Linked DNA regions of Lytechinus pictus. The protein of the gene in region 3 purifies or fractionates together with the protein of the main gene of each other region. This does not show direct contact. Links are inferred from orthologs where the notes say so. Each region holds a gene or a part of one and is shown on either strand. Other genes may lie near its edges. The genes, in order: ras-related protein Rab-11B-like, ras-related protein ORAB-1 and Golgi phosphoprotein 3-like.

Region 1 (7,035 bases), on a different chromosome or scaffold from region 3:
TTTGAATGCAGTCAAATTGCTTAACTTGGCCCAATTTTGCATTCTAACAAAATGCAAAATTTCCTCGCGCGGTCGATCCGCTCTCGCGTTCAATAATATAGTTCTTACAAGAATTATATAGGTTATAACAAATCCCTATACGTTTAGCTTATTGCAAAGGATATTATCCGCTGCATCATGAGAGTATGGTTATAATAAGTCCATTTATGAAAACCAATGGCTTTCAAATATGGCTATAACTGATCATAAACAAATCAAAACCGATCAAAACATCATTTTTAGTGAATGTATATGTGTGTGGGGGCGGGAGGGGTGTCATATCCTGGAATCTTTGTGGAAGCGGGAGATAAAAACATTTTGTACAAGTTAAGCGCCAATTTGAGATACTGATTGCATTGACAAACTCAGTAAAACACAGACTCTGTATATCGATCGTACAGTGCCTCTGAGGCAAGGCAGGACATAAATATTTCCCCCACGCTTTACAATGTCATCCGTTTATAGAAGACTCTAATTCACATCTATTAACGTAATTAACGATCTGATAAATATTAATTTTGCTCAAAATTTTGAATGTTGCATCAGCTACCATTATAGTCTTAAATAGTATTCTAAATATTTCCTTTCTGTCATTTTTTTTCCTTTTCATTTGCATAATTGTGCTACTCCACATTTTTTAGAAGTTTATGTTATGGTTATGTGATGGTCTATACTCATTTCATAAAGCACCCTCATTGCTGATAATCATGATCCCATTTTTTGTTCATTTTCGGTGTCACCTTTAACCACTGAGCAAATGAGTTTTCATTGAACAAAATATGAACTGTTTAATCCTTATTTGCTCTCTATTTCTTTCTCCCTTTTTTCTTAAGTTTACTTTATTGATAATCTACCCTCAGTTTATCATCCTCGTGTATTTTTTATGCATGATCATTTTAAACTACTGAAGCAACTTTTTAAAGGCTTGCTCACTACCCCCCCTCTCTCTCTCTCTCTGCATTTCTCCAACAATTACTCACCCATTGAAAGACGAAATAGTCATCATTCTGTCTATCGTGATAGGCCTTTAATTGAAAGATGTACACATTTACAGTCGGCCTATACATTTCCCGTGACGTGCCTACACATCACTTGAAAGAGGTTTTTGGACACCATTCGATCTGTAGTCCAACTACTGATATTTGCTCGCTCGCATAATGATATCACAACAAATCCGTTACATCCATCGACACTGAATGCTGTTAACTGAAAGATGTACCGATCGACGGTTACCCCTGTAGTTGTATAGGCCATTGCAAGGTCATGGCCCTAGCCGGGGGTGCTGGTTCACTCACCCCCAAGATTTTCTTTCGGGGGGGGGGGGTGCTGCGTGCATTAATTTCCTAAGGCAGCACCTCCAGGAATTCTGAAAGGAGTGACAAAAATTGAGAAATGAAATGACCTTATACCCATCCCCCTCGCCCATGGGCGGAAATCCAAGGGGGACAGGGGGACGCGTCAGCCCGACTTAAAATAGTAGGGGACACAATATCAAATGTCCCCCTACTATTTTTGGTCTTTTGTGATGAAAAGAAATACCTCATTCAAAATCGAAATAAAACATGTATTTTGGACGAGATGACGTACGTCTTTAGAGGTGATAACCTTTTTTCTTTTTTTTTTGCTTGTCAAATTTATTTTGGTCGACCTTTCATTTGGGGTGATAACCTTTTTTTTTTTTTTTTTTTTTTTTTTGCTTGTCAAATTTTCCAGCCCCTTGTCCCCCTACCTTTTGGGAGAGATTTCCGCCCCTGCCCTCGTCCTTTTTTTTATTGTCGAAATTCTTTGGACCAAAATGACCTTTATTTTGTAGTGATGCTTGACAAAAAATGCTTGTATAATTTTCATCAGAACCTTCAGTAAAACAAAATCGTTTACAGGGCCCTGCCCTTGGTGTGGGGGTGACACCAACATTTTAGCTGCTGTCGATCATCCCCCTACTCGGACAGGATTTACGCCAGTGTCCTACATACAGGGGCGGATCCAGCCTTCGCCAATAGGGGTGGGGGCCCGGAATTTTTTCAGCCATATTTTCCCCGATCGGCCGCTCGAAGATGATTTTTGCCGGGATTTTTGGTTTCTTTGAAGGGGTAGTCATAATAGTCACTTCTTAGCTTTATTCTAATGAATAAACATAAATATATAATACCATAATCCTTATTTATACAATGTTAGCGCAAAGCGCGAGCTAACATTTTTATTGGAAATATTATGTTTTTTTTTCTAAAATCTTGAACATTCTGGGCAATGTTTGTTATCCTGAAAAAGATGTGTATGCAAATGAAAAATTACTACGAACGTGAAGCGCGAGCAGAATCGAACTGATGGAAAAGATACTGTTAAAGACTGCTTGCAGTTAGCCATGAAGACGCTGTACATATTTTAAAAATCAAATAATGCGAGCGCGAAGCGCGAGCTGAAATTTTTTGACAATTTTACCTAAGGAATGGAAATTCTAAGCACTTTTTGTAACTTAAACAGAATAGGTATATAACTAAACAATAATGATGCGAGCGCGAAGCGCGGGCGGAAAAATTCGAGATTTAAACCTACTGAACGAGACACTCTATTAAGGTTTTGTAAATCATGACAAGGATGAGTAAGTGAGGATCTTCCTTACATTAATAATGCAAGCGCAGAGCGCGAGCAGAAATTTTTTATATACGTTTTGAACTGATCGAAAATGTACCTGTTAAGGACTGCTTGCACTTAGCCATGAAAACGTTTCATATTTCAACAATCAAATAATGCGAGCGCGAATTAAGCGCGAGCTGAAAATTTTTGACTTTTCTTCATAAAGAATGTAAAATTTTAATCAATTTTTGTAATCGTGAACAGGATTATAACTAAACAATTGATGCGAGCGCGAAGCACGAGCGGATAAAATCGAGATTTAGACCTAAAAACGGGACACTCTATTCATGTTTTGTAAATCATGAAAAAAATGAGTAATAGGGGGTCTACCTACATTAATAATGCGAGCACAAAGCGTGAGCGGAAAATTTTTGATATTGTGATCTGAAACTGGATAATGATTCAGAGAACAAGTTGACTATCTGAATAAACATGCGCGCGCGTGTTTCATATTTAGACCTAGAATCTAGGCATTCTTAATACATCTTTTATTATGAAAATCAAAGCGAGCGCGAAGCGCGAGTTTAAACTGTTCGATTTCCGATCTAAAAAAACAGTTATAACTTCAGCTCTATTTTTCAAGAACTTTGTAGGAAAATTTTGAGGTGGATATGGATCGCACTTAATAAAGAGCTAATATTTTTAATTATTATTACTTTCAGTTTTAACATAGGACCGGGACATCCTTAGGACATGTATATGAAAATGATGACTGTCTTCCTATTTCTCTTGCTAAGTGCGAGATGAAACAAAATGGACAATTTAATCATTAAATTAATATCTTATTCATTAATGCATGAGGGCGCAAAATCTGATGATAGAAAATGTTAATATTCAGAACATAAAACTGACATTTTACAAATCACTTTTTTTAATCTCCATATTGAACACAATATGAAAATCACCTAAAAAAAAAAGTAAAAGGCAATGCGAGCGCGAGCGAAAATTTTATACAGTGACATGAAAGATTCTTTTTATTTTCCAAGTCTTCCCCTCATCTTATTTTATTAACTCATCTTCCTCCTCTCTTTTCCCTCCTTTCCTCCTTTCCCCCCTTTTTTTTTCTTTCCTTTTTTTCTTTTTTTGCTCCGCCAATAGGGGGCCCGGGCCCCTCGGCCCCCCCCCCTGGATCCGCCTATGTACATAGACCTTATAATGGTATGGAATATACATATCGTATCACAATATTTCTGTACTCTATTAATACACGTAGTTTTGCAATGATTGCGAACAAAAATTATAAGTTGCCCCAATAATTTAAATGTTTCTAGACCTATTCGTAAATTACGTGTGTGCATATATTGCAATTATTTCGGATCGCGAATGTGACGTCACACTACTGTAGGCGTTAGAAGCCGCCATTGTACCGAATTCGAAGACTAATGTCTATCTCAAATAACTTGGAGAAATCGTCCAAATCTAACGACATCGGTGAAGTTTACCCTCTAATATTGTTTTGATATTCTAATTGATAACCAATTCGAAACGATTGGATTTTTATTGATCAGATTATTGCTCATCATTTTATGTTTATTTGGGAATCCCTACCGGTGACATATCCGGAAGTCACTTCTCAGGGGCGTAACCGAACAGGTTGAAAGAATTTACGAAGCGATACAATTTACAAGATGGGCACGAAAGATGATGAGTACGATTATTTATTTAAAGGTGAGTTTTTAGTAAAATGGTATGTGTCTGTAAAAAGCGTAACTTTGTAGCTTTCAAAGAGTCTAGCGTACGTATTATTACAGTAAATCATTGTGTCTAATGAAGACCGGTTTTGTACGCTGTTGCACCAGTGATAAGCCGACATAAACCGTGTACGATACCCAACGTAACGTACATGTACCGCCTACCGGTACTGTCCGGACGTACAGATGTCAATTGGGCAATGCTGTTGTGCTGATTTAGAAAATTTGTCGTGAACGAACGATGATCAGCCGCTAGACTAGACAGCTGGCAGCCGTCTGTTTTGAGGAGTTTTTCAACATTTTTTATTTTTTTAATTTCTCCTCGTACACAGACGGCTCGCTATCGTGCAACGTGCAGCCACCATGATTAGGGGGAGAACAATTATGAATTAATGCAAAATCCCCCCGACGGGGCACATTTTTGTCTTTATTTCATAAAAATATTGAAAAAGAGTTGAACCAAAATAGAGTAAGAGATTATTCCGTTTTAGTCTGAAAAGCACCAAAACGGGGAAAAATAAACTTAAAAGGGGAAAAACAGTGACTTCGGCTGTCGCAACTTCACTTCCCCATTTTATCCTAACTTAAGTATAGTCACGTATTGTATTACCGGACACTATTGTGATTCCGGACGCGCATATAAATGCGTTCGAAAACAATTTCGTACCGTAAGACTTCCGCAATTCATTTTCACAGATCAATACATAGAACAAGATTGCAAAAACAAGGCGAAAAAATCAAATTTCTACCTTATTTATCTCTAAAATGACAGAAAATGCTTAAAATATCATATAACATAGTTTTGCATTAACAATTGAATGAATTGATATATTTTCTAACAGAAATATGGGCCTGATTTTCCGAATTTCAATCTCGTCGGCTCCTTCGATCGAATGATGAGGTGAGGTGTATTGTGGGTGATCGTCGACCGCTAGTTCTCAAGGTACCGTGCGTGAGGTTTACCGTGAGTAGACCCGTCGACGATCGGCTGCGCATCGATAGAACTTGATGAGCGTCACGATACGAACGAGCACTGGAAAGTGCCATGAAACATGCAGCTAACCAAAAAATAAAAAATAAATTAAGTTATCAAACACGAATTTATTACCAACATCTGTTCAGATTCGATATAAAAAAAGCAAACAAAAAGTTAGAATTTATTCATGATGTGATATAAGAAGAAAAAAATCACAGAAATTTATTCTTACATCATTGTAATCAAGGATATCTTTACCCGTCCGGCGCGCGTCCGGAATCATGATGTAATTTGTCGCGCACGAAAATAATTGTTTTTCGTGGAGGGGTATGCGGCAAGTGCGATGTAAAGAAAATGGTTGGTAAATATAAAATAATTTTATCATATTAATAATTTTCATAATATTTGGAATAGCAAGTGCGAATTTTTCTTGATTGTATTTCCTCTAGTTGTCATTTTTAAAGCACTGAAATAAAGGTGTCCGGCAATAGGATACACTGCCATACATAAACATGGCCATTGAGTCCCCTGTACAGATCGTGCTATAACTTTGGACTCTGTATTTGGTGAGTGGAGCCACCGGCCAACATAGTTCAGCAGAACAACCAACATAACAGAGACCGAAGCTTTTGGTCTACCGCTAGACTAGATTAAGAACAGTCACGTCATTGAAGTGACAATTGCAACATGTATGTGATTGAAATATCTGATCTGAGTAGCCAGGTCCCAGCCCCAGGAGGAACTTTGTCGTAACTTGGACAGTTGAGAGTAAAAATCATTCACTACCGGTATAAACGTCCGCGGTTAGAATGTAGATCTAACACTAAACAGTTAGTGTATGATTTTTACTCTCTTCTCTAACTAAACTTCTAAAGTCCAAGTATAATCAACAAAGTTCCTCCTGGCTAATGTTAGTAATAGAATGATGGGGAGACCTCAAGCTGTATGCACTTTGGTTTACTAACAATAAGCCCTACATGTATGCCAATTTTAACAATTTTTTTTCTCACAATTTGTAAATATCCTAGGCCTAACCCAGAAGAAAATATCACAAAACTCACTAACTTGGGTATAATGTTAGATCTAGGCCTAATAGTGATATGAAAATCCCAACGTATTTTCTGAACTCTTCTTTATTTCGCTGCCCTAAGTCATAGCTTTAAGTTTCGGACCCCTTCTAACGTTACATAGTATGTAACGTTAGAAGGGGTCCGAAATGTAACGTTAGAAGGGGTCCGAAACTTAAAGCTACGCTACACCAATCCCCAAATTCAAAGAACTCCTTGAAAGAATCCAAATAAATTAAGTACACATCCAACTTCATGCATTGGTGCCAAAAATGTATGGGTTAGCCACTACAGGGCTCCATAACACAAAGGTTTGCAATGGATTGCAAATATAAAAGAACCGCACTGATTGGTCCCTGGTCGGTATAACCAAATGCGCGTGTAACATTGATATTGATTGGTCAGTTTATTTAGCGATTGATCGCTAATCTTTGTTACGGAGCCCAGGGCTCCGTAACGCAGGTTTGCGACGGATTGCAAATATGAAAGAACTGCACTGATTAGTCCCTGGTCAGCATTTTAAACCAAATGCACGTGTAACATTGATATTGATTGGTCAGTTCATTTAGCGATTGATCGCTAATCTTTGTGTTACGGAGCCTAGGTGTGTTTGTACATCAAACCATCC
Region 2 (8,087 bases), on a different chromosome or scaffold from region 3:
CAATCCATGTAAACATGTACATGTAGTCCAGTTACTTGTTTTTATTGTCAAAATCTATAATTCAGTTCAATTTTAATGGAATAAAACACATCAAGGGGGAGGGGGCGAGGCACACTGGATAATGTGTGGTGGGTATGTGCCTGAGAAAGGACACACGTTTTTTTATACTCAAATTCCAGGCTCCCTGGAAGCTCTGGGATTGTAGATGATTTCTGCTCAAATCTGAGCATATCTCAGATGTTTTGTTTTGGTTCGAGAATGCACCACTAAAAGTGACACAAACAAACTGCAAAAAAATAGGTGCATACCCACAATTACAAGATCACGAAGATAAATGTCCCAAGTGCTATCTAGGATCTAAGGTGTCAATCGCATGCCATAGTTTAAATGCAGGCAGTAGAGATCGCTAGTTTACATTTTTAGTAATTTGAAATATATGCACAAGCATCAGGTAGCATTATAGTAGTGGTGGGCTATACAAGTACACGGTGAAATTTTTCTCAATGTTTCAAATCACGGAGAGGACCAGCTCCATAAATGCAGCTTGTGCTACCTTGACACCCTTTTCAGAAAAATCGGTCTACATCACTCGGTCAAACATTGAGGGGTGCTGCCAAAGAAATGATTTGGGGCAAAAAGGTCATTGACCCCCACCCATTTTTTTAATTGTATATCTCGGCTTATGATTTTTGCATTGGTTTCTATGTTATTTTGGACAAGGAATTCATGTTTAACAATAAAAAGATGTATAACTGTTGTCTTTGTACTTAAAATTTAACCCTTATTTAAGTGGGGAGGGGCCCCCTCCCCTCTCTTGACGAATTTCGTCATTACGCCACCACAATAACTTTTTTACTTCGCCGCTCAGTGACTTTTTACTTTCAAGCCTTGTGCATCTTACCGGGTACGCAGTTTCAAAATTACCCAACATTTAGTAAGTGCATGTCAGACCCAAAATTGCTCAAAAATGTAATTGTGTACAAAGTCAATGCTAATTGTGTTTTCAACCTAAAAATCATAATGTAGGTTTATATTTACTTTTGCTGGTTTAAATTAATTTATTTTATGTTATTTATGATTGCAAACAGTCCACATCCTGGATTGCATTGCTAAAGATGATCAACAGTGTTTTTGCCTTTAACTTTCTTTATATGGTAAATTGCCTATTCGTCTACTGCTAACTCGTCCACTCATCATACAGTCTAACTTCATTTAGTATGATGCCATTCCATCCATAAACATTTTGTCTATCAATCATTTGGTTCAATAACCAATTGGTCCAATCATCACTTTGTCTAATCACCAGTTCGTCTCCAGCCATTTAGTCTCATAATCAGTTGGTCTAAAACCCAATTTATTTTCCTTCATTTCGCCAAATTAACACTTACATGTAGTCCAATTAGCCCAAATGGTATGGCCTAAATGGCTATTGAACCAACTGGTTATTAGATGAAATGAGTGGACGAAAAGGCAATTTAATACGTGATTATTAATAATTATTATTATAATTATTCATAATCATGTATTAAATTTTAGTATTTGTTAAATAATAATTTGTATCTATAAATTGTTCTTCAAAACGGCATTTTGTAACATCGCCAATCGAATGTACGTCATAACAAAGCGGTTCAAGGGTCAGACCTATTGTATTTGCTTTGTTGACAAATGGATTGAGGGATCTACACGAGATCGGTCTGGTAAGAAACCTAAAAATTTTCACTTTTTTATTAACCAATTTTTGGAACCTTCATACGCATTTGGCGTTTGAAGGTTTAAATATCAATAAAATTCACCCGTACAAACCGATATCACCCTCTAACTATGGATTTCCTAGGGAAATCCATCCAGGTGTCTAGGTCTCGCTTCTCCGTCTATGGGAATAGTGTCAAGGCTCCATGATGAAGTTTGTCAAAATATTTAAAAAATATCATCATGGAGTCCTCAAGGCTAGGTCCCGAAGTCTGCGCACCTAACGATTTGAGTTAAGATTAAACATGGAATTCTTTTTATTTCAAAAAATCTTTCAGTTAATAATGTTCCTTATAAAGTGTACCATATATCTCATACAAATTTGAAAGAAATATAGGATTTTCTTTGAAAAAACCTCGGGCAGTCATTTTCAGATTGAAAAAAAACATTCAGTTTGCACACGATTCGGGTATTTTTTATGAGAAAGGCTGCATTTTGAGGCAGTCACAAGAAATGCCCAAAATTCCTTATTTTTCCACCATCTTGAGTCGGATTTTTTAATGAATATCTGTCTATGTGTTAAGTTTGTGTTTGTTGCGTATCTTCTCTTACTAGAATCGCGCAGATACGTGTGTGCGCAGACAAGGTCAAGGGGGACTGCGCAGACTTGAACTTGCCATCTACACTCACACTACATTCTTACACTACAGACTATGGTTAGACATAACTCGCAATAAAATTCAGTCGGCCTAGACTAATGTAACATAAGATTAAGAACATTAGATTTTAGAAGTAAGAAATGTCATGCTCTATTTTAGAGGCGTCGTACCGATGCACGCATACTTAGTGCACAGCAGACAGATGCAGAACATGACAAATCCTATTCCTTTAAAAAAAATCAATCAATGGACATCGACAGACTTGCATTCACTCACTCACATTCACATTCACAAGTCAACACGCAACTCATCATTTTTCCAACAAAATTAATGTTATTCTGTTCTTAGTATCAATACTTACTACTCCGGATTCATTGTGGACATGACAGGGTAGATCCACGTATGTTAGAAAATGTGTTTTAATTACACTTAAGATGAATAGAAATGAGTGAATAATTGTGATTACACCGGCTTTTACAATCGAGGAAGTTTCAATATGGCTGCCTGTACATTACGCTATTTTTACATTCAATTTGTACACAGATAATCCGTACGTATGTGTGCGTGCGCTTTCAAAACTGCGCTGGCTGCTGGCATGATCTCTAGCTCTCTCGTATCATCTGCGAGCTTTGTATACAACTATACGTATATTACCGGTACAAGTTACTCCACTGTGCATTACTACATGAAATAGGGGGTGTATTCATTGGATAGAGGTGACGTCATTTGAATACGACGTGGCAATCAGCTGATAACATAAGAAAAACTTGGTCTGATGTGTAAAACTAGTATATTTTGAATTACGAAATTCATTTTTCAGAACTCATCAACCTTCTACTAATTAGAGATCTAGATCTATGCAAAGTTTCCAAGCAACATTGTCCTGCCAAATCTCTAATATTTGCAATAATTCACTCAGTCCACGAGCAATTCAAAATCGTCTTAATAGTTGACCGCCTTAACTTGTAATTGTTTTAGGCCTCTATTTAAAGGTCAAGTCCACCCCAGTAAAATATTGATTTGAATAAATAGAGAAAAATCAAACTAGCATAACACTGAAAATTTCATCAAAATCGGTTGTAAAATAAGAAAGTTATGGCAGTTTAAAATTTCGCTTATTTTTCACAAAACAGTGATATGCACAACTCTGTGACATGCAAATGAGTCAGTCGATGATGTCCATCACTCACTATTTCTTTTGTTTTTTATTGTTTGAATTATACAATATTTCATTTTTTACAGATTTGACCATAGGGACCGACTTGACTGAATCATATAGTATTAAACGATGCCAATTCCACATGTTCAGGGAGAAATTAATCACCGTTTCACTTGACAATGAAGAGAAAATTAGGATATTTCATATTTCATATAATAAAATACAAAAGAAATAGTGAGTGGATGACATCATCAGGCTCCTCATTTGCATACCAACCAGAATGTGCATATTTTAACTGTTGTGCGAAATTAAGCGAAACTTTAAAATGTCATAACTTTCTTATTTTACATCCGATTTTGATGAAATTTTCAGTGTTGTGCTTGTTGGATTTTTTACTTTTTATTCAAACCAATTTTTTATTGGGCTGGACTTGTCCTTTAAAAAACGCATGATTTACTTTTTAATCACATGTAGGAACAATTTAGAGAAAGATCGATAGCATGATATTGATGAAACCGATCGATGTGGGGACCACAAATAGGCCTAGGGGTGGGCCGGGGGTGCCCCTATGGGGCCACATGCAGCTATCGTATATATATATTTATAAAATAATAACCCGGCCTATTTCTCCGAAACCTGCATTTTTATATTTTTAACATTCGTTTTCCGACAAAATAACTTTTAATGATGTAATCTACATAACCTGGCCATCCTCTCATTTTTGGGTTCTTGTTTTTGTTCCACAGGCTTCGACAAGTTGTCAGTTTATAGTTGACGTTGGTTGGCCTGAGAAGCTGTTACTATGGTAACTGTGGGATAAACGATCTGATTAAACAAGTCCCACAAGTTCTTTCATAAAACTCTCCAAAGATTTGCACCCTGGTGTGACAGCTTAGTTGGCCAAATATAAATGGAGTTTGCTTAACCTGAAATTGCATGAACAGTACAGGAATATTCCTACCTAGCGAATAGATGGGTAAACGATATTAATTTGGAGCACAAGATTCGGGTTATTAACCCATTTTTTTTTTTTACAGTTAAGCCGATTGCGCATATACAAGTATACAGGCTCAATATATTTACCAACAAACCAATTTCAGAATGTGGATGAAAATTGAAAAAAATGACGGTTACACTGGATTTAACCTTTGACTTGAATGAGAAAGAGACGATATAGTCTTTCGATAAACTCTGCATGGTAGAGAGTTCCATAAATGAGGACCATGGTTTCTTGTGAATCTCATGCGCAAGCGGCAATTTAGGGCTGATTAAATAACGGGTATAGGATAAGAATGAATGTTCAATGATAGTAGAAAACTGTGGAATTAAGGTGGCAGCATATTTTTATTAAACATAAGTAGTAAGCATTGACGAGAATTAGTCCAACAGACTGTCTATAATGTCTACTCATGATGGGCTGGGCATTATGTGTGCCCTATATAGGAGCCCCCCTCCCCCTTGATAACAAAAATGAGGCCACCCTTCTACACAAAGCGATGCTATACTTTGGTATATCGAGAATCGAAAAAAAAAATCGGCAAACATAAGAAATATAATTTTATTCTAAGCAACAATGACTAAGCCCCGTTGACTTTTCTGAAAGGGGATTTCCTCTGTTGCAACTCGTCAGATAAACGTAACTTGTTCCACCGTGGCAGTGGTCATTCCTGACATAATCGACAGGCCCTTCGGGTCTGATTGAAATTGAAATTTTATAATTCATACACGGCAATCAGTAAGTATATAGACTCCCTCGTTCTTTGTACTGTAAAAAAATATTGGGTAACATTTTAACCAGCTCACCAGCACGAGGGTAATTATGTGTCCAACCAATTTGGGGCAGTATTTTACCCAATGCAGGAAGCATAATTGATTGATTGATTGATTGATTGACAACGAATTTATTCATTCCAAAATTTCAACAAAGTTACAAAGTAAAGCAAAATACAATATAACATTTTGAAATGAAATAGGAACCTTCTGGAAAGCAAAGCTTGTTATTGAAGGTTTCCTTCAATAAATAAGACTTAATGCAAAAAACAATATATATATATAATATACTAATCATATCGTTTTTGTTGAAGTTCAAAATAGATACAATAAACAAGTCATCATATCTTTCTTGTAAAACTTATATGTAAAAATTATATGTAAATCCTTGTTAAATGTATTTTTTTTTTACATATTCTCCTAAGTAAAAAATAAACAAGGCTGGATTATCTTACAAGATATGAAGAAAAAGTGAAAAGGACACACAAGACAAAACGTAACAAAACCAGGACGTGACAGAACGGTACAAGATCAAGACATGACAAAAAGTTATACCAAAACAAGACAGACGAAATATTACAAGAACAGACAAATTGAAAAAAAAGACAACAACAACAACAAAACAAAGGACAAAAGCGAGTAAAAGAAAGAAAGAAGAAGGAAAGAAAAAAAAAAAAAAAAAAAAAACAGGTAGAGCGAAAGAAAGGAGACGGGAAAAGAAGCGAAATAAAGGCAGGGTGGGGGAGGGGGGAATCCGGAAGAACAGAAGATCCACAAGATATCCTAAGTAGGATGAATGATGTGAGTGTTATAGTTATTGGTTAGATTTTTTTTAAGTGCTCTATTGAAGCTATGAATAGTTGGCTTATTTCGTAAAGTTTGCGGTAGTGAATTCCAAAGTTTGATACCAGAAGATATAAACAGTTTGTTTGTTAATAATGTCCTCGTTCTAGGTAAATGGAAAAGTCCAGCAGATCTTGTAGGGTAGTGATGTACATTGATATTTCGTGTGAACATAGAATAAAATACGTCTGGTAGTTCATCTTTACTAAGGTTGAACATAAAAGATCCAAGATTATAATGGTAAAGATCATGTATCTTAAGAATTCCATGAGTTTTAAAAAGAACATTCGTATGTGCCCGATAATGAGAATGGCAAATAACGCGCAAAGCTTTTTTCTGAAGTAGTAAAAGTCTATTCAAATGAAAATCAGCACAACTCCCCCATGCAATAATACAAAAGTTCAAATGCGGGAGTATCAGCGTAGAGTATAAGTTTAATAATATACGAGTCGGAAAATAGAATTTAACTTTATTTATAATTCCAATATTCCGTGAAATTATTTTGCATGTGTTATCTATATGTTCTTTCCATGACAGTCTGTCGTCGATAGTTACTCCTAGAAATGTCGTACTTAATACTCTTTGAATATTAATATTATCAAAAATAATGTTCATCAATGATATTGCTGAAGAGCATGTAATTTGTTTTAGTGAGATTAAGCGATAATTTGTTGGCTTTGATCCACTCTGAGACTAGTTTTAATTCTTTATTGAGTGTGTCAAGTAAATGTTTGGGGTCCTTATGAGAAAAAAATATATTTGAGTCGTCGGCAAAAAGAATGAATGATAAAGTAGTGTCCATGCAGTGTGGTTAAAAAATAAGCAGCAATTACTTTAGAATGGGCAAAATTTTCATCACACTGGATAAATAAAACTTGATGCCCAAAAAGACATGCCCAATGTTGGTTGGACACATAATTACCCTCATGGAGCTTTTCATTGGGTATAATCCTATAGGCCTACTTGCAAAAGAAGACCAGGAACAGCAAAATCAACAACAACAACAACATCATCATCAAGAACAAAACAGGGGCAGCGAAACCGCCCGATCGAGGGCAGGGTGTTTCAATTCCCTGCCATCACCCCATTAAATTGTCAATAAACGTACAAACAAAAACAAGTTTTACAAAGTTCCATCTGTTAATTAGTGTTTTTTGTTTGTTAACTGCCCTTAAAAATTGTCCTTATTTTTCAAATATGTAAAGATTTAAATATTCTATAATTCAAACAATAAAAAACAAAAGAAATAGTAAGAAATATATTTGACACAAACTACACTATTAAATATTTCTTTTAATCCAGATAATACAAATGATATATTTGTAACTGTCTACCAAATCGCTAGGAAAGCATGGTTAGCAAATAACAGGCCGTAGTTGCATGGATATTTGCAGTCTATTTCCAGTCATTACAAAAAAGGTGAAAATCAGAAAATGCGATTTTCACTGAAAATATAGTATACAAATAAAGACCACATGTCTGTTTTTATCTATTGTTGGACTCAGTGGCCATGAACATATATTACAAATCATGAGTGATTAAGGTGTTATGTACAAAAAATTGTGTTTTGGGGGACAATTTTTTTTTTTTTACCAAAAATGACCCAAAAATGTTGTTTTAAATGACCCAACTTATCTGATTCATAGTTTAGTGCTCATTGACCACGAAAACACACAGTTAGACATATTGGAAGCCTTATGTGTATAGATGTAAAGGATTTACATGCGAAAAATTGCTCAGAACCAATATCAGACGTATTCTTAAAAAAAAAGTAGGCCTACTTAGTAGATTTGTGGCATAGAGATATATTACTAGTTTGCACTCCCAGCCAAGATGGCAACATAATTCATCGTTTTAAATTGAATTTCACAAAAATAGGTTTTATTTGCCCGCCCCTACTAACACCCATGATACCATCCTTGTTATTATTGAATTACAAAAAAAATCATTATATTATTTTATATTTA
Region 3 (7,397 bases):
GAGGTCAATATACCCACCTCTTTTCCAAATATCGCGATCGGGAACGGCTGTATTTCAGCTTTGATCTCGATGTCGTTGTTCGAATCCTCAGACATCACTTCGCGGATTGCTTGGATTCGCCGTGCACAGTAATGATGATGTGGACTGAAGTTAGCAACCAAATCATACGAACATGTGGCGAACAAACTGCCAGCATGCTGCAGGCGAATCTTTTGGTTGCTAACTTCCCGATCGCGATATTTGGAAAAGAGGTGGGTATGGTATATTATTTACCTCAAAATGTGACTGAGAGTAGGGTGTCTGGAGAAAAAATTATTTTTCTTATTTCAAGAAAATATCACATTTTCTTTGTGAATTTGAAGAGAAATTACCTTCAGACTGACAGAAATGTAACATTTTTGAAAAAAATCCAATTATTGGCTGCAAAAAAGAAGAATGAAATTAGGTAAATTTTCAGCATTTCTCTGCCATAGACTGTGTAGTTAAGATATGGACACACACAATTCCAAATTTTTAGCTTCCGAGAGCTGTTATAAATTTATCATTAATGCCAAAAACTTGTCCATAAAGAGTCCAATAGGATTTTTTATGCTCTTTCTGATGGTATGATTTTTATAAAGATTTGGAAACCAGATCACAATGAAAAATTGCGACAAAGTGAAAAAAATTGTGCAAAACAGACATTTAGTTTTCCCATAGAAAACGCATGGGGAAATGGCAATCTCAACACACACACAAATAAGGGTTTGCAATTTATCTCTAATTCTAAATCCTTATTTAAAATGATCATATAAACTTGTCCTTACTGTCAAAAGAACCCCCTGAATTTTCTCTTTCCATACATGCCAAACACAAGTTAATAATTAATTCAGATCACATTTTTGCTACTCTAACGTCCATGCGCAGTGAGTCGCCATGTGCAATTTTTTTACTGTTGCGCCACTCACCTGTCACTGCCTGACTACCATGGTTCTAGAAATCTTTTGCAATGTTGAAAAGTGTCTTGTGGCATTGAAATGCTGCAACGTTTGGTTAAAAGATCCAGCAAAACACAAAGGAGTTTAGCGCAGTCAAAGTCAGACTTGCAAATTTGGATCCGTACGGTGAGAATTTAAGCTGCCATTTTTCTCGGGCGACGATTTGAGACGCCCACACTAAGTAATCGATGTTTCCAAAACTGCCCGCTCAAGTTACCAATATTTGGTATCAAAATAAAGAGTATAAAAAAATGTTCACAATCATTTCATTTTGAAGGTGGGGGTGACAATTGTTATCAAAATAAGAGGGGGTGGCGACTCAACGTATATCTCAACCCACGGAGAGGTTTCAACAACGCAGCTGAGTCAATGCACTTTTGTGTACGATCGGTGCGTGTGTGTGCGCATGCGCGATATGCCTGTGTAGTAAATGTATTGGATTTTTCGAATCGGCGACTCAAAATATACCCATCATTGTGTCGCCTTTCCGGAAGTGTGTAATTCATGATGTTCTTACTAAAAACTGTAGCAATTTCAGGAGAAAAGTTTATCATATATTTGAAAGGATTTGTGGATACTTTCATCTCATAATACAAAGATTTGAGTCGATTGCGACTCACTGCGCATGGACGTTAGCAGCCTGAACTTCCCGAAAAAATGTGCCATATTTTCCCCTAAATCAGCCTGTTTTATGCTGACACTTTTCAGTGGGTGATTTCAAGTACGGTGTTGAAATCTGGTGTTGGTGTTGTGACAACACCAACACCAGCCACAACACCGTACTTGAAATCAGGCTGGTGTTGGGATTGACCTCGGAAAATATGACGTATTTCCGGCAGTTCGTGTTGAATGCTGGTGTTGAATATCGTCTGCTGAACCCAGCACTGCGGCTGATGTTGACGATCTACGTGCAATTTCCCCATTCACCAACACCAACCCCCAGGGATTGGGAAAATCATGATTTCAAGTTCGGTGTTGGTGTTGGTGTTGGCAATCTCAAGCTCGTGAACAGGCGGCGAACGCGATGAGACATCCCCGTAAAATTAGCTTTTACAGTTAAGATGAGCACAAATCATTTTTGAGCTGTATATATTTTGATGAAGAATAATGTTCACTCTTTCGAATTCTTGAATTAATTAAAACATTGGTATTCTGTACGATGAGAATTTAATGCATTTCTCACCGATTTCATTTTCGTCGTCGAGACTTCTCGCGTGAAGTTGAGATGATTTAGCAGCGCAGCGCAGAGGCGTGACGTCATGTGCTATCGATAACGCAATCGGTATCATTCCTCTGAACCCAGCTCGGTGTTGGAGCTCGGTTCAGCGGCCTTTTTACGCTCTCAACACCAACACAGAACACCAAACTTGAAATCACCCAGTGTGGCTTCAGACACCCTATAGTATACGGTACCCAGTTGTTGTGTGTCCGGACAGGTTGTGTGTCCGGACGATCCATTTTAGAAAGTCATTTGGAAATATTTACAAGCGAAGTTTCATCAATTTTTAGTACAAAATGTAAGGAAATATTATAGAGAACAAAATGGAAGATGATTACAACTATTGAATTCATATTTTTAGTGTAATCCAAAGACAAAACAGAAGGCTTAGTTCAAAAATAAAGTGTCCGGACACCCGACCCCCCATCCTACTGAGACTGAGAGTGAGAGACTTGTCATGACATTTGGGAACAAGTATTGGTGATGAGGTATGTTGGTAATCGGCCGGTGCGAAACTGCATTAGCGCCTGGGTTTTCCATACTTTACCTCTCTGTCTTTCAGACCCAATAATAAAACTTCTTCCATCAATGTTAATCTCGTTTCTTTTGATTCGCAGTCATCTTCTTCTTCACGAAACGGATCTTCGTCCGCTTCATTACTTGATTTTCCCCCTTCTGCTCCTTTAGATCCTCCACCTGTGTGTCTTTGAATTAAAGTACTACCTCTTTGAGTCAAGGTACTCATGATAGAATGTCAATTATTACAGCAGGTTCTGCCTATCTTTGAAGAAAAGTTATAGATTCCGCTTGTTATGATGTGTGAAATGGGTCGGCTTTTCCAAAATGGCTTCGTCTGCGAGAAGTGACGTCAAATTGCTGATCGAAATTCAACGCAAGGTGGCGTTCCATCTTCAATTGTCTATGCGCGTATAAACGTGTCTGGTATTAACTATTATTATGGGGGCTAAAATATGCGATAAAGATTACCCCCCCCCCATCTATCTTCACTTAATTGCACTGTTTTGTTTTTTGTTTATTTCAACTCAACAAACAAATACTGATCAAAAAGATTAAAGATGAAGAAGACAGATCTAAAAACTCTTGAAACAAGATAGCTGACACCCCAAGATTTTCATTCTAAAATTATTATAGGCCTATAATAATTATGTTCACATTTTAGAAAATTTGACTCGCCCCTATAACGAAGGAATGTGGTGAATAAAATAATCAATATTTTTCGGCGTGCTTCAACCGCAAAATTCTTCATTATGATTTGGCGATAACTTGATATTTCCACCCCCTCCCATCCGAGATGTGGACCGACACTTCTGAACTCTTAATGGTTTAATTACATGACTAACTTTAGCCTCAGACCGAGTCATCAACAATATAAACATTATATCCTAAAAAGAATGGCAATATTCAGAGCGCTTTTGACAATAATAGGCAAATTCAGAGTTAAAAGGACAAGTCCACCCCCAAAAAACACTTTCATTTGAAGAAAAAGAGGAAATTCAACCATTATAACTATTACACCAAAAATTTCATCAAAATCGGATGTCATTCAAAAATAGTTATATGCACATCTCGGTCGGTATGCAAATGAGGTAACTGATGATATCACTCACTCACTCACTATCTTTTGTTATATATTATAAACGAAATATTCTAATTTTCTCCTCATTTTCCTGTGAAATAACGTTTTATTTCTCTCTAAACATATTGTTTACCATTTTTATGGTTCAGTCAAGCGGCAGTTGATCCAATTGCCAAATCTGTAAAATTTGAAATATTGCAACATTCAAACAATAAAAGAAAGAAAAGAAATAGTGAGTGAGGGACATCATCGATTCTCTCATTTGCATGTGACTAAATAGTGCATATTGACCATTTGTGAAAAATAAGCGAAACTTTGAAATATTATAACTTATTTTACATCCTATTTAAAGTCATTTTCAGCATTATGCTTGTCTGACTTTTCTCTGTTGGTCCAAATCAACATTTTTGTGAGGTGGATTTGACCTTATTTTACGCGTTATTATTGTTATATTCGTGGTGGTTGGAAGGGGGGGGGGGCAAAAAACCCCACAGGTTAAGCAAATTTATCCACAGTGTGCTGCACTCGACCCAGGTGAGATGAATGGGTACCCGGCAGGATCAATTCCATGCATGCACTGAGCGCCAGTGATGGTAGCTCGAGCTAAAGCCGGGTTAATAATAGCAAGGGCTGTATCCTCAGAAAAAAAGCGCTATATAGATCTAAATGTTATTATTATTGTTGTTTATTTATTTTTATTATTATTTGAGTAATTTGTTCAACTGCAGGGCGCCTCAGGAAAGCAGTTTTGCATCACTGAACAGGCCTACCCTGCAGTATAAAATAAAGAAAACCAATAAATAAATAATAATTATTGTTACTATTAAGAGAGCATTAATGTATTCTGCATTTCGATGCGCTTTTTCGAGGGAAGGTGTAGCGACCTAGCGAGAAAATTTCGAATTTTCGAGCACTTGGTGAGTGACATGGATGAAAAGCTGCATTATTCTATTATCATAATACAAATAAATTATAGGGCCAACACTATATTTGGAGTCGAAAATTGTTTGGGGGCTTGAGTGATTTTTTTTTTTTTTTTGGGGGGGGGGGGCTTCAGTCCCCACAAAGCCCCTTCCTAGAACCGCGACTGGCCCCGGTTCCACTATAGAACGGGGGTATTGATCAACTTCACTGGTATTCCTTTTTGTGTGCCTTTATTTCTTTGCCTTTTAAATTAATTTCTTCCTTTTCTTTAATTATTTGCAACCCCTTTCCCCTGAAAGTGGCGCCCAGGGCACGTGGCCCCCTGCCCCCTCCCCCGCTACTATGCCACTGCTAATACCCTTATCAAATCGAATTCAATTGGCTTAATGCTGTTATAAAAAATATTGTTTTCGAAATAAATTATATGAACGCCCCCAAATTGGGAAATGTCCCGGGGGGCCACTTACATTGACGAGTGGATACCATGCGCGACCAAAAAAAAAAAACATAAAAAGGATGTCTTTTTCAAGATAGGGCATGTTACGTACGTAACGTAATAAGGGTGTCAAAAACACTAAAATAGTGAAAAAAGGGTATCTATTTTCGTTAGGAAAGCTACGTATTTAGGCCTTTAGGGTCAAATTTGCGAGGGGGTAAAAAATTAAGACTAAAATGTTTTATAAGGGATGTACTTTTTTTGCCCCAAGAGTCAACACTACGTGTTAAGAGTACGATTTGCGCGAGATGTACTGTGGGAGGTGGGCTGTACTAAACCCATGCAATGATGTAGGTAAAGGTAACCGACGACAGACGGCCGTGACATAACAATAAAAATATCGCTTTAAAAATCAGGGAATATTTGGCAAGAGTATCCTTTTGTTTCAAATACTTGTTAAGGGTAGGGTTTCACACGCCAATACTTGTTAAGGGGTGCATTTTTAGAATATGGAAAATACATGTTTAGGGTGCTTTTCGAGACCCCATGGTGGCGCAAATCCGGGGGGAGGGGGATGGGGGGATATATCCCCCAACTCTTTGGAGAGGGGGGGGGATGGCGTGTACAAATATCCCCCCACTTTTTAAGAAAGAAAATATATTTTAATTAATCTGTTAGTAAAATCTTTGAATATCTGTCATAAACAACCATCATATTTTAAAATTTATATTTGAAAATGCGATTGAAAACCAAAAAAGTGGTTATTTTTGGCTTGCTCGCTTTACTCGCTCATATTTTAGAATTTATTTTAGAAAATGCGATTAAAAACTAGAAAAATTGTTATTTTTTGGCTCACTCGCTTCGCTCGCTCTCGCAAAATAAATATTAAAATGTGTGTAAGGGGGTATGTGGGGGGTCAGTGAGAGTGTGCATGTGCTTATACCTAAGCGTGAGATCGACGGAAAAAAAATCGTCAAAAAGTCAATCATCCCCCCCACTCCTCAGAGTGGATTTACGCCGGTGGACTATCCACTCGTCAATGGAAGTGGCCCCCCGGGGAAAATGTTTAGGGAATTGGAAATGATTCCTCTTACCGCACGAAGCGTGGATGTCAAAACGTTTTATTAAAAAAAAATGAGAACAGAAAAGGGCATTCATTGAGTGGTATTTGATAACAAAAATTTACATTGAAAAGACAGCAAAACGGGATAGATCGATGGTATAATATGCAGAGAGAAGATATTCCTTCCCGCGAATACCGTTGAAGATCAGAAATGTCAAAATTTCTCTTAAACCTTAACCTGCTCTATATTAGTAATTCAAAAAAGCTCAAAATAGGAAAGAGATGATGCACGGAGAGGAATCTTCCCTTTCAAATACCCGCGAAGCACGGAAACCTCTGTGGTTTGTTTTGAAACATACATGGCCTATAAAATTATGTGTATTCGCTCATTGTTCAGCGCTTCCTTTGTATGATAAAGAAATTTGAGTGAAATCAGTTTCATTAATGGCGCAAAAGAAGACATGAGATGGATGTGCCGCGATATGAATAAATTTTCATCGTATATACCTTGGTATATCATGGCCCTGGGAAGTGGGGGTGCTGGAGCACCCCCAAAAATTATTTGGGCGGGGGTCAGTGGCGTACCTAGGATTTTCCACAGGGGGGGCAAAACCGTCCGCCAAAAAATTTGACAAGCAAAAAAAAAAAAAAAAAAAAAGGTCTTCGATCACAAATAAAGGATTTCGTTCCAGAAAAAATTGACAAGCAAAAAAAAAAAAAAAAAAAAAAAAAAAAAAAAGGTCTTCAAGCTCGTCAGGTGGGGCAAAGATACGTTTTTGCATGGGTTGTGACTCGTCAGGGGGGGCAGAGTGCCCCCCCTGCCCCCCCCCCGTAAGTACGCTAGTGGCGGGGGTGCTGCGTATATAGGCCTACTATTCTCCATATAGGCAGCACCCCCAGGTACTTAGGAAAATATGAAGAAAAAAAGAAAAGAAAAAAGTAACCAAATATCACCTTTGTTTTTTTGTGTGAAATCCCCCCCCCCTTTTTTTTGGCTTTTCAAATTTCTTGGGACCAATAATTAGTGAAAACAAACAAAGCCATACAAAATAATCCTCGCACACGCCGGCCAGCGCAGCACTTATCTAGTCTGCTGGGCAAACCCTTCACTCGGGTTAAGGGTCTGAATGTGCAGCCTACTCATGCCTTGTGTACTGAAGGCTCTCTCGTGCCAACCGCGT

Evidence for each region.
Region 1: the proteins of Golgi phosphoprotein 3-like (region 3) and ras-related protein Rab-11B-like purify together in Drosophila melanogaster (affinity purification with western blotting; 3 studies listed by BioGRID, with this or other methods). This does not show direct contact. The link is inferred for Lytechinus pictus from reciprocal best matches to the Drosophila melanogaster genes sau and Rab11.
Region 2: the proteins of Golgi phosphoprotein 3-like (region 3) and ras-related protein ORAB-1 purify together in Drosophila melanogaster (affinity purification with western blotting; 3 studies listed by BioGRID, with this or other methods). This does not show direct contact. The link is inferred for Lytechinus pictus from reciprocal best matches to the Drosophila melanogaster genes sau and Rab1.

The regions. Positions count from the first base shown.
Region 1 is NC_087247.1:18,305,789-18,312,823, reverse strand, and holds the start of ras-related protein Rab-11B-like, read left to right. Parts: upstream 1-3,976; 5' UTR 3,977-4,301; coding exon 4,302-4,341; intron 4,342-7,035.
Region 2 is NC_087251.1:18,746,129-18,754,215, forward strand, and holds the start of ras-related protein ORAB-1, read right to left. Parts: upstream 3,026-8,087; 5' UTR 2,733-3,025; coding exon 2,710-2,732; intron 1-2,709.
Region 3 is NC_087249.1:5,503,526-5,510,922, reverse strand, and holds the start of Golgi phosphoprotein 3-like, read right to left. Parts: upstream 3,096-7,397; 5' UTR 2,942-3,095; coding exon 2,744-2,941; intron 1-2,743. UniProt on the Drosophila melanogaster protein: Phosphatidylinositol-4-phosphate-binding protein that links Golgi membranes to the cytoskeleton and may participate in the tensile force required for vesicle budding from the Golgi.